Mytilus edulis: one gene and its partners. The protein of the gene in region 3 interacts with the protein of the main gene of each other region in a pairwise test. Links are inferred from orthologs where the notes say so. Each region holds a gene or a part of one and is shown on either strand. Other genes may lie near its edges. The genes, in order: histone-lysine N-methyltransferase SETDB1-like; COP9 signalosome complex subunit 6-like; thymidine kinase, cytosolic-like.

What was found.
Region 1: the proteins of thymidine kinase, cytosolic-like (region 3) and histone-lysine N-methyltransferase SETDB1-like interact in a two-hybrid assay, tested with the Homo sapiens proteins (2 studies listed by BioGRID and IntAct). The link is inferred for Mytilus edulis from reciprocal best matches to the Homo sapiens genes TK1 and SETDB1.
Region 2: the proteins of thymidine kinase, cytosolic-like (region 3) and COP9 signalosome complex subunit 6-like interact in a two-hybrid assay, tested with the Homo sapiens proteins (2 studies listed by BioGRID and IntAct). The link is inferred for Mytilus edulis from reciprocal best matches to the Homo sapiens genes TK1 and COPS6.

What each region holds. Positions count from the first base shown.
Region 1 is NC_092350.1:57,977,747-57,981,507, forward strand, and holds the start of histone-lysine N-methyltransferase SETDB1-like, read right to left. Parts: upstream 2,223-3,761; 5' UTR 2,129-2,222; intron 1-2,128. Other genes in the region: ATP-dependent RNA helicase DDX55-like, read left to right, coding at 2,298-2,685. UniProt on the Homo sapiens protein: Histone methyltransferase that specifically trimethylates 'Lys-9' of histone H3. H3 'Lys-9' trimethylation represents a specific tag for epigenetic transcriptional repression by recruiting HP1 (CBX1, CBX3 and/or CBX5) proteins to methylated histones.
Region 2 is NC_092346.1:85,905,420-85,909,180, forward strand, and holds the start of COP9 signalosome complex subunit 6-like, read left to right. Parts: upstream 1-1,037; 5' UTR 1,038-1,105; coding exon 1,106-1,277; intron 1,278-3,761. UniProt on the Homo sapiens protein: Component of the COP9 signalosome complex (CSN), a complex involved in various cellular and developmental processes.
Region 3 is NC_092352.1:45,351,135-45,354,895, reverse strand, and holds the start of thymidine kinase, cytosolic-like, read left to right. Parts: upstream 1-1,591; 5' UTR 1,592-1,679; coding exon 1,680-1,745; intron 1,746-3,096; coding exon 3,097-3,128; intron 3,129-3,310; coding exon 3,311-3,424; intron 3,425-3,761. Other genes in the region: cilia- and flagella-associated protein 184-like, read right to left, coding at 1,404-1,418. UniProt on the Homo sapiens protein: Cell-cycle-regulated enzyme of importance in nucleotide metabolism. Catalyzes the first enzymatic step in the salvage pathway converting thymidine into thymidine monophosphate.

The DNA of each region.
Region 1 (3,761 bases), on a different chromosome or scaffold from region 3:
ATGCTGCTTGCAAAGATGTGTTCAAGTAATTTGCAAGCTATGCATGTTAATGATATAGGTCTGTAATTACCTGGGTTGTGTTTGTCCCCTTTTTTGAATACAGGTGTGACGTTAGCATGGTTCCAGTCAGATGGTACTTTTCCTGTTTCTAATGATCTGGTGAATATTAATGTGAGGATGTCTGTACATATCTCAATGTTTTGTTTCAGTACTTTGCCTGCGATGGTATCAGGACCAGTGGCTTTATTAGGGTTTATGTTTTTAATAAGTTTATAAACACCATCCCTAGATATTGTTATGGTTGTCATTTTGGGGTGAGTACTAGCATCACTTTCTATGCAAACGTGAAACGGGGTGAACGTGAATGGGCGCGAAAGAACCATGATTCATGCAACCGTAGCTCATATATATATGATCTCCTGATTTTACTTCAAGCCTACATTTTGTAACAGTAACGTAACGCTATTAGTAACAGTACAACTGTAACTGATCATGCTGATAGCGGTCTCACTAATTAGCGACAACAAGAATTTTAGCGACAACAAGCGTCAACAAGCGACAAGAAGCGACAACAAGAATTATTTTAGCGACAACAAGCGACAAGAAACTATTTAGCGACAAGAAAACATTTTTTTTAATTAAAATTAATTATTGCAATAAATATTAAAAGAATATGCAAAAGAAAATAATTTTAGCGACAAGAAAGTTAAAATTGATAGAAAAAAATGAAACATTATTTACATAATATTTTATCATCTATTATGAATAACAGCCAGTATTACGTTTAATTATTGTATTATGAGATTACTTTTCCTTGTGTTTTAGAACATATTATTTCTTATAATTTGTTTTTTAACTCTTTTCGTGCAATATATATTAAGCTCGCAGAATGAATTATTTGTGCATCATTGTCCTGAAAACATTGACACAAATTGTGAAATACAAAGAACTGAAATCAAACAGGAGGAAAAGAAATTTGAAATGTGAATGTTTTCATCTTTTTATTTGTTTATTGCCTCATTAAACGATATCTTTCATGTTTATGCATATTGATTGAAGATGAAAGGAAATTAATGACAATCTTGAGTTTTCAACAGGTGTTCATTATTTACAATGATTGTATATTCTGGCACGTGTAATTGTATAGTCTGACGCGTGTTCAAAGTTGAAGGTGTTAATTGGATGTTATTGTAGCAATAAAACAGGGGACACGCGACTCGTTAATCTCATTTGATGTTCCACATGTTTGCTTATCAAAATGGGACCACCATGTACAAAATGTATAAATATTATGTTAGATAGGAATGTACATATTACTATATAATGACTAAAAATAGTTTTAAAAAAAAAAAAAAAAAAAATATATAGACCCCAAGGTAGAACCACGTCCTCGTCGTGGGGTCTGGAAACACGCTTAAATGATAAAGATGGCAAAGCGTGGCTGAGAGTTCTATAAATAAAGCATCGAATTGACATAACAAGAGTACACTTAGAGCATAGTATTAAGCAAATGAATCAAAATATTATATTCCATTATGCTCCATATATATCTCCATTCGTTTATTCATACTTTGACTTTGATGAAAACAGATACATACATTATCTTATACATATTCTTCATATTTAAAAATAAAAAAAAGAAGCTCAATCTCTTTCTTCTTCACAAATGTTAAATTTCTTCATCTACCAATATACTAATATAAACTTCAAAATCTCTTTCTTCCTCACAAATGTTTCATTTCTTTGTCTATCTATATAATAAAACATTTTAATTAGACATATCTGCTCGTATATTTAAAAAAAAAACATTAAATACAAATTTCTTTATATCTAATTTAAAAAAAATGTTTTCTTGTCGCTAAATAGTCTTCTTGTCGCTTGTTGTCGCTAAAATAATTCTTGTTGTCGCTTCTTGTCGCTTGTTGACGCTTGTTGTCGTTTCTTGACGCTTGTTGTCGCTAATTAGTGAGACCCTGCTGATAGTATTACATTAAAAAATCAGTAGCAATATTATTCATATATTTATATTAGCTTGTGCATTTTTTCTGTTTTAAGTAGGTAGTATTATTTTTTCTAATGTTAGTTTAACCCTTTATTAACTTTCAATTAGTATGCATACACAACTTACAGTTAAACTATGAAGCAATCAAATCGGCGTGCATATTTTCTTGTCTTGCATTGTTTGTAAAGGCACTCTTTCCATTGAAGTTAAAAAGAGTCGTGCCTGACTGGTTTATTATTATCCTTGAACTTTATTCGTTGTGCTCTTTTTTAAGTTGTCAGAGGTACCAGTTAAAATGGCTGGCACGTGGAAAAATTTGTCAATCGGTCTTTCGTTACCGATCTGTAACATTTTAAAGGAACTTAATTTCGAAGAGCCAACCCCTGTCCAGTCAGCATGTATTCCATTGTTCATGAAAAACAAAGATGTAGCCGCGGAGGCAGTTACTGGAAGTGGCAAAACATTGGCTTTTCTAATACCAATTCTTGAAATGTTGCACAAGAAAGAACCTCTTTCAAAACATGAAGTTGGAGCAATTATAATTACACCTACCAGAGAATTAGCATGCCAGATATATGAAGTTTTGTCAGAGTTTTTAAAAAAGTTTCCTGGAATGACATCTGCTCTCATAATAGGAGGGAAGGACCAAGACGAAATGATAGAGGCTTTAAAGAAAAATGGAGGCAATTTACATTTTGTACTTAAGTTAAGATACATGTAGTTGGCCATCTTTTACGTTTGGGGGTTTATGTACATTGTGGTCCGAGTCAGGTCGGAATAAGTCTAGGTTTCGGTCAGTTTAGATCCATGTTGGTATTGTGGTATTAACACTAGTCCGAGATTACTCTGATGTCCAACACCTGTTGTTCCAGACAAGCTGGGGCCGTGGGACGTCAGAGCAGGGTTCTCACTAAGGCGAGTCCATGAGTCCTGGACTCATCAAAATTTGTCTGGACAGTCAGGAGACTTACTTAAATGAGTGATTATTAAATCACTGATTCAAGTAACATTATGTTCATAAAGGTTGTAAGCTAGAGTTGTCTTTCTGCCAGGAAGCAATTGGCCGACATATTTTCCGTATGCATAGTGACCTAAGCGTGACCCTCCTCGTAAAAATCCGGTGATAGCAATACGCATGGATCTGTCATTAACATGATTAAAAATAAACAATTAGGCTTAAATTAAAATATTGTTTGTTTGCCCTTTATAATTACCGACCGACCCTATCAATTCGTTCCGCCTGAAAATCTTTTATTTGTATTTACCAGCAAGATTTTATTTTATTTTATTTTTTCGTTCCTACCAAAAATCTTATATTTGTATTTCCCGCTCAAAACTTTTTTACCGGAATCCTCGGGTTTTATCTTTACGTATAAGGTCCAGTCCGTTTGGTATCACCTGAGCGTTTGACATGAACACTTGCATTTGAAGTTTCAAAGCATTTGTTTGAAATCGATGTTGAACGCTTTCTGAAATCATGATATGAAGTACGTTACTCTGTACCTTTAAACTTAAAGAGCAGGGTTCATTTACAAAAAAGTTCGTTTGATACAAAAGTATTAACGTGTGTACAAACTAATTTGTAAACGGACGTTGTATTCTATGTAGGGATGGCCTTTTGTAATCCGCATATCAGAATGATTATGTTAACGATGCCGCTAAATTATTTATATCTGACATGAACCAAAAGTGACAAAACCCTGTAAAGTGGAGAATATCTGGCAGTAAAATCGCCAAGTTTTCCATACAGATCATTTAT
Region 2 (3,761 bases), on a different chromosome or scaffold from region 3:
TGTTAATACAACTTAGTAGTCTGATGTTATTTATGTATTATTGTCATTTTGTTCATTTTCTGCGGTTACATCTTCTGACATCAGACTAATACTACTCTTGAACTGAATTTTAATGTGCGTATTTTTATGCGTTTACATTTCTGCATTGTCTAGAGGTATGGGGGAGGGTTGAGATCTCAGTCATGAACATGTTTAACCCCGCCGCAATTTTGCGCCTGTCCCAAGTCAGAAGCCTCTGGCCTTTGTTAGTCCTGTATTATTTTTAACTTTAGTTTCTTGTGTACAATTTGGAGTTTAGTATGGCGTTCATTGTCACTGAACTAGTATATATATATTTGTTTAGCCTATATAGGGGCCAGCTGAAGGAATATTGGGGTATGTTGGGGTATGAATGTAGGACAGAAAGTCACAGGACAAAAAGTCACAGACAAAAAGTCACGGACAAAAAAATCACAGGACAAAAAGTCACAATCAGGCAGTTTTTAGAATATTTTTTTTTAAACAAAAAAAAAAAATAATTTTTAATAAAATATTCGTTTTTTTCTTGAACTGTGATAAACAAAGCAATTTTGTAATTAAAATGTATTTAATAAATATCAATACTGATCACATGATTGTTATGAAAACAAAATGTCAAAGTGACTGTGTACTTAAACGGCTTCATGTCGCCAAGAAATATCTCCTTTGCATGATTAAAATTTAATAAATTTTCATTTACAAAGCTTATGAACAGTGTCCTACACTTAGAAATGAATAGATGTAATAAAAAGAAATGTTTCAAGATCTTTCTCTTATATATATCTTAACAATTGATAAAATATTAATTGTGACTTTTTGTCCTATCAAATTTGTGACTTTATGTCCTGTGACTTTTTGTCCTATGACTTTCTGTCCGTTTACCTTGGGGATTGGCGTAAAAAGTCACGCCGCACAATTGACTCAGAGCTGGAATAAACGGTCCGAGTTGACCTTACAAAGACGGTCCGAGTTTCCTACGGGCCGAGTAAAGCATATTCAAATAAGCATTTAAATGATCAAGATCATCAGACGTCAAAAGTTACGTCCCTTTAAAGTATTTTTGTTTTCTTTCTTTTTTCTGTTTTTTATGACCATGGCTTCTCAAATGGAGATCGATACACCTTCTACTAGCATGACTAGTGTGATGGCTAGCACAACTGCATCAGGAAGTGTTTCAGTGTCGTTTCACCCACTTGTCATAATGAATATTTCTGAACATTGGACAAGAGTACGAGCCCAAGAAGGAAAACCAACACAGGGTAACATTACCATAGATTATAAAAGTTGTTGTACACATGGCAGAAGCAAAATCACATTAAAACCCATGTTTGCAATAGAAAAACAATTAACTGAAGGCATGTTAACTCTACTTTACTTTAACAGGTTGGGAACAAACCCCCTGTATGGTGATTATACCTCTATAGAGGGATAATCCTTCTTTAGAGGGATAAAATTATCCCTCTATAGAAGGGTATTTTTGTTTGCACTGGATTTAAAGCAAATTAGGGCAGAATGGCATTTTCTAGCTATATTGGCTACAATCTCTAGCATTATATGCATCAACATATGCACTTTACTAAAAATTGGGATAACCAGTTTTCTGCTAAAGTGACAAAACTTGCAATCTATTGTTAACCTATCTGAACACTTGATCAACAACAAAAGGAATAGTTGACCTTTAAATTTCATGTTAAATCTAACAATAGAAATTCTGTTCAGTGAGGCAGAAGTGAGTAGAATTTACCTGATCATCACAGCTTTCAATCATGGTGAACAATAGATTTTATATTTAGTCAGATAAGCATGAAACTGGGCATTTGCATATTAAATTAAGTACATCAATTGGTGCATCAACTGTTCCAGGTTACTGCCATAATAAGTAGAGAATGCCATTCTGCCCTATATTGATTTAAATCCAGTCTGAACAAAAATATCCCTCTATAGAGGCATATAGAGGATAATTTTACCCCTCTATAGAAGGATTATCCCTCTATACAGGTATAATTACCATATAGAAGGTTTGTTCCCTACCTGTTTAAGGAACATTATTGAAATTTCGTTGCATATCCTACTCAGCCAGGCTACTGTGAGTACTGACTACTGTGTACAAATGTATGTAGTCTAAACATTTATCGGTCATCTTGTTAGTTCAATCGGTATTTGTGTTTGAACTTAACACACAGGGAAACTACACATTGACGTCACTAAGCTACTTCCAGTGTAGAAATTAGTGCAGAATACTTTTTTTCTACTCTTTTGAATTACTTCACAAAATCCCACTTCCTGCCTCCATTGCTTTGTGTACATTCCATTCAGCGTCATCAATCTTGTGGCAGGCAATACTGGTCAAGCAAATTGTTTTTTGGGATACAATCGCTTTTAAGCAATCTGTAAACTTATACCATTGACTTCGGGCCATGCCCTCACGTCAACCATTTTCTTTTAAACAGCAAGGAACTAGATTGTCTTGCTTTGAATGGTATAAAAAACAAAAGGATTGAATTTAAACAACTGTCCTATAATGTTCTTCTAATAATCTTCAATCATGTTTCGATATTTCCCTTGACTTGTATGGGTGTTTTTAACAACACAGAAAATCAGAATTAAGCAGTATTTATATTTAGTGTTTTTATAAATTTAGAAACACGTCAGAGGGAATTCCCCAGTTTTGGTAATATGCAAGAGTTCTCTGAATTCCGATAAATCTATGTCTGTCATATAAGAACTGAAGTGGAGTTTTCTTATATATATACATTTTTGTTGTACATGTACATGTATGTCACCATTATGAAACTGATATTTGATATTGTACTTCCATAAAGAACGGAGGTTGTTTTTAATATACGTCCTTGCTACAAAGAACAAGTCTAGGGTTTGTTAAGGTAATTATGTGCATGTGTATAGTTTTCTTGACTTATAGGGGTATCAGATTGAATGGTTGCTCTGGATTCCCCACTCCATTGATTAATTTGAAACTCACAAGATCCTTTCTATCCGTCTATGTCTGTTGAGGGTTATTGTTGTTGCATAATTTTAAATCATACTAGAACACACCCGTGATATCGCGGGTCCGTGACTGATATATAACTATGCGTATGCCTTATTTTAGTATTGGTATTGTCATCTGATAAAGTCATGCCGATTATAACATGTATAACGTGCACAGTTTTCTCTGCTTTCAAAATCTTTCTGTTTGAACCCGTCGACCTGGAACCTATCAATTATTGGTAATATTAATAATTTGGAAAACAAAAGGGCCTGGAATGGAGTATTTTTTACTCAACAGTATACAGCAAAATTCTAAATACACTGTTTGGTGGTGCGCCTGTCAGATGCGGAACGTACAGATAAGGTAATAGGTAACAGGGGAATATACTATTGGTATCGGTGTCGGACTCGATCCGGAACTTCTTAATTATTGGCAATATTAATTACGTGGAAAACAAACGGGCCTAGAGTGGTGTAATTTTTAATCAACACCATTGTACTATATTAGTTATATATAAAGTTGAATTCTTTGATTCATCGTTTTAACGTGATGACGGCTGACAAATTGGACCTCGTAATTTTAGTATTATAGATGCATCATTTGAATTAAAATAAATGTAGTCCTTAAAGTATAGGTGTAACTAGAAAACCCCTTCAGCCAAAATGGAGTCTTCCATATTATTGCTTCGAGTTGTCTCCCTTCTGTAAGTAACTTTCGTCAAACGACGAGTTGAGTAAAATTAACTCATTCTGTT
Region 3 (3,761 bases):
TAGAATTTGGAAATTATAAAGGAGAAAGGGTATGATTGCTGATGAGACAACTATCCAACAGTGTCCTAATGAAGTAACTACAAGTCACTGTAGGGCCTCCATTTATAATTTCACACCTGTAGTTTTAATGATCATGATGATAGGTCAGTCACATAATCACACAAACAAAATTACCAAAATCAAAAGCAGTTAATACAATCTAACTTGACATCCAGGTTTTCATTTAGAGTGGAAAAAAAGATATTACTGAGATGTACATGTATGTTTCAATGAAATTGTATTCAGCATCAAAAGGCATTGCCAGTTACCATCAATTAGTAAAAAATGTACACAAAAATTTCTTTCTTTCTTTCTTTCTTGTGAATCCATAAAAATATTCTATCAACTTGACCCACTTTCTACAAAATGCTCCACTTCTGTAAAAAAATCTTTAATCCCACTTTGCCCCACTTATGATGTGAATTTTAACCCTGATAACTTTAAGCCTACCAACTCATCCCACCAATGAAAAGTAGTTTAATCTGATTAATAAGGATCTAGTCCAACTCCCCACTTGTTGACTTATGAAAACAAGAACAATGTGCATTTCACCCATAGGGAAATGGTCAAGATCCAAAATGGTAGAGGTTCTAAATGATCAAGGTCTGAAATGGCAGAGGTACAAAATGGTCAATGTCCAAAATGACTTGCTACTTAATTTTAGCTACATGTACCTGGCGCGACATGCACATTGTCATTTAGGATATAACTGTATTGTATTTCAAGCTCCAACAGCATCAATTGGGGATTTATTGGGGATTTGATGGTCGCAAATTAAGTTTACTGGTGACGTGTTATCAAATCCCCAATTGATGCCATCAGAGCTTAAAATACATTATTGTTATTGTTCTAATGAAACTGACAGAAAACAACGTTAAATCATGTAATTAAAATCTGGTATATGCCTTCTGCACTTGCGTGTACATCCCATAGCATCAACTGTCAATTGATGCCATGTACAAAAGTGACGTAATCCAATCAAAATGAACGTTACAAACGTTGTTGCATTAGAATGAATAATAACTGACATTCAAAGTCTGGTTCATTATCTTAAGGAGTGATGGTTCAAAAACTGTTGGCAAAAAAACGTGTATTAATGATTTGACGAGGTGTTGAATTGTCTGTATTGGTTGCCGATTTGACCAGGTGCCGAAGTGACTATAATTCTTTTTTCGTGTGATCAATATTGACAAAAAGACAAGAAAAATCATCAACTATTGCCTTGTAATAAATATATATATCTTTCTTCTGATGAGCACATGACCAATTTACTTTTTATCATAAACTCAATCTTAAAAATAGATTTTTGAATGATATGTTTCGGTTTATCTAAAGAAAGTTTGATTTAAAAACTCATATCCCACCTCTTGGTCAGCCATATTTGTTGTTAGGGAAAACAATGTAGATGGGGTTGCAATTTTCCCTCCAGAATATTTTTTATTATTAATTAGTTTTTGTAGCACTAATAGTTGGGCGGTATTATTGTTTAAATTAATTATCAAATTTATATACAGAAATAAAAAAAAACATGAATAAATTAAATATAAACACTGGTGACGTCATTTTTGGAGGCAATTTTAAGCTTGCTAACTCGCGGCAAAATCAACTACGCAACATTTTTTTTCCAGAAAAGCTAGAAAATGTGTTCCACTGGGCATATATTTAATTCTCCAAGACTTAACAAGTCACCGAGAGGCCAAATACAGGTGAATATGCTACTTTTTGTGATGTTAGACTCTTTTTATGAAGTTTTATCTGTTAGTGAGTGTTTACGTTTTATGATTCTGATTGGAAACAAAGACAAAACTCATAATCGTCGACACATTCATGTTTCGTCCCACTTCTGCATGTTCACCACTACACATTTCCCTAACAGTAACTAAGTTTTATATGGTATTTGCTAGTCTGACTTTACATAATGTCTTTAAGTGCCATCAGAGACATATAATACATATTATATGTCTCTGGTGCCATATACATTTTTTGTTTTATTTATTTATGATATTATTTATATAAATAGGTTACGGCTAGGACAACTCCTTTCATAATATGAGGTTTGTAAGTGGGGGGAATAACGGTGAGAATTACGATGTTTTTTTTGGTGCATGCCGATAAAATGATCTTTCTTTTTGACGATAAAAAACCTAATTATGTTAATGAATGACATTAATTATTCAAAAAATAACGGTAACAACAAATATTTGAGACCTCTCAGGCTCTGACGAATCACGATAAGGATATTTTGATGAATCAAGGTAACATTTTAACCAGTTTGACACTTAACATTTGCTGAAAAAGACGGCCTGATGGTTACAGGCATTCATACTTTCCATTACATTATCATATTATGAGCGACTATTCATTCAACTAATTCCTGAAAAAAATGCATTTATCAAAGAGGGGGAAAGAAGATACCAGAGGAACATTCAAACTCATAAATCGAAAATTAACTGACAACACTTTGCTATATAAAATGAAAAAGACAAACAGACAAATAGTAGTACACAAGAAACAACATAGAAAACTAAAGACTGAGCAACATGACACCCCAACAAAAATTGGGAGTGATCTCAGGTGCTCCAGAAGGGTAAGTAGATCCTGCTCCACATGTGGCACCTGTCTAAGAAATGAATAGTCCTTTAATATTTTAACAAGGGAAGAGAAATTCACTTTTTTTAATAGAATATTTTCAATATATAGAGACTGGTCTGTACTGTCGACTGTAGCGTAGAAGTTTATCATAAACCAACAAATTATTTTCATGACTATCTGTCAGATTCAATTAAGAAATTTCTCTTCAAATATTTTTTTGTGTGTGCTAAAGACAAAAAAATACTTAGAAATAAATTTGAAATAGTACTTTCCTCAATGTTGAAACTTTTTACAGTAACTGATAATGCATTCGTGTATATATTATACATCTTCTTATCCTTGATACTGATTTGGAAAGGTGTCATCTGCAGCACTGATTTAATTTGTCTAGGGTGATTTTTAGTTCATTAGCATAAAAATACATTAATAGTGCAACATTTAAAAGCCTGTTTTATTGTTTTCCAGGTGATATTCGGTCCTATGTTTTCTGGCAAAACGTAAGTAGAAATTTTTAAGTACAATGTATGTATAACTTTTTAGTAGCCCATCAGAAACCCAAAATGACTTTAATTTTGATATAAAAAGTTGAACAACTTTAATAGTCAATCCACATAATTTTACAAAAATCATGCCAATACAATTGACTTTATGACTGGTATTTTTTGTTTGTATATTTTAGGACAGAATTGATGAGAAGAATGAAAAGATACCAGATAGCCAATTATAAATGTTTGGTAATTAAATACTCAAAAGATGACAGATATGACAAAGAAGGCATAGCTACACATGACAAGTAAGTTTAGTAAATCTTGAGTATTTACCTAGGTAAGTTGAGGAACTCTTGCACATTTACTTGGCAAGTAGAATAAACTGTGTTTACATAGACAAAATAAGATCACACTGAATGTAGAATATTTAAACTGGTAATTCAATTGTAATTTTAAATGATTAAAAGTACCAAAATAAAACAACATAGGAAAATCAATTATTTAATCCTGAGATGGTAGTCTTTCTATAAATGGATTAATACATATGGTTTATAATTTTAATAATGAAGATAATGATAAAAAAAAAAAACTAGTTTACCATAAGATTATGTGGTTGCATGAACTAGAAACTTAGTACGCATG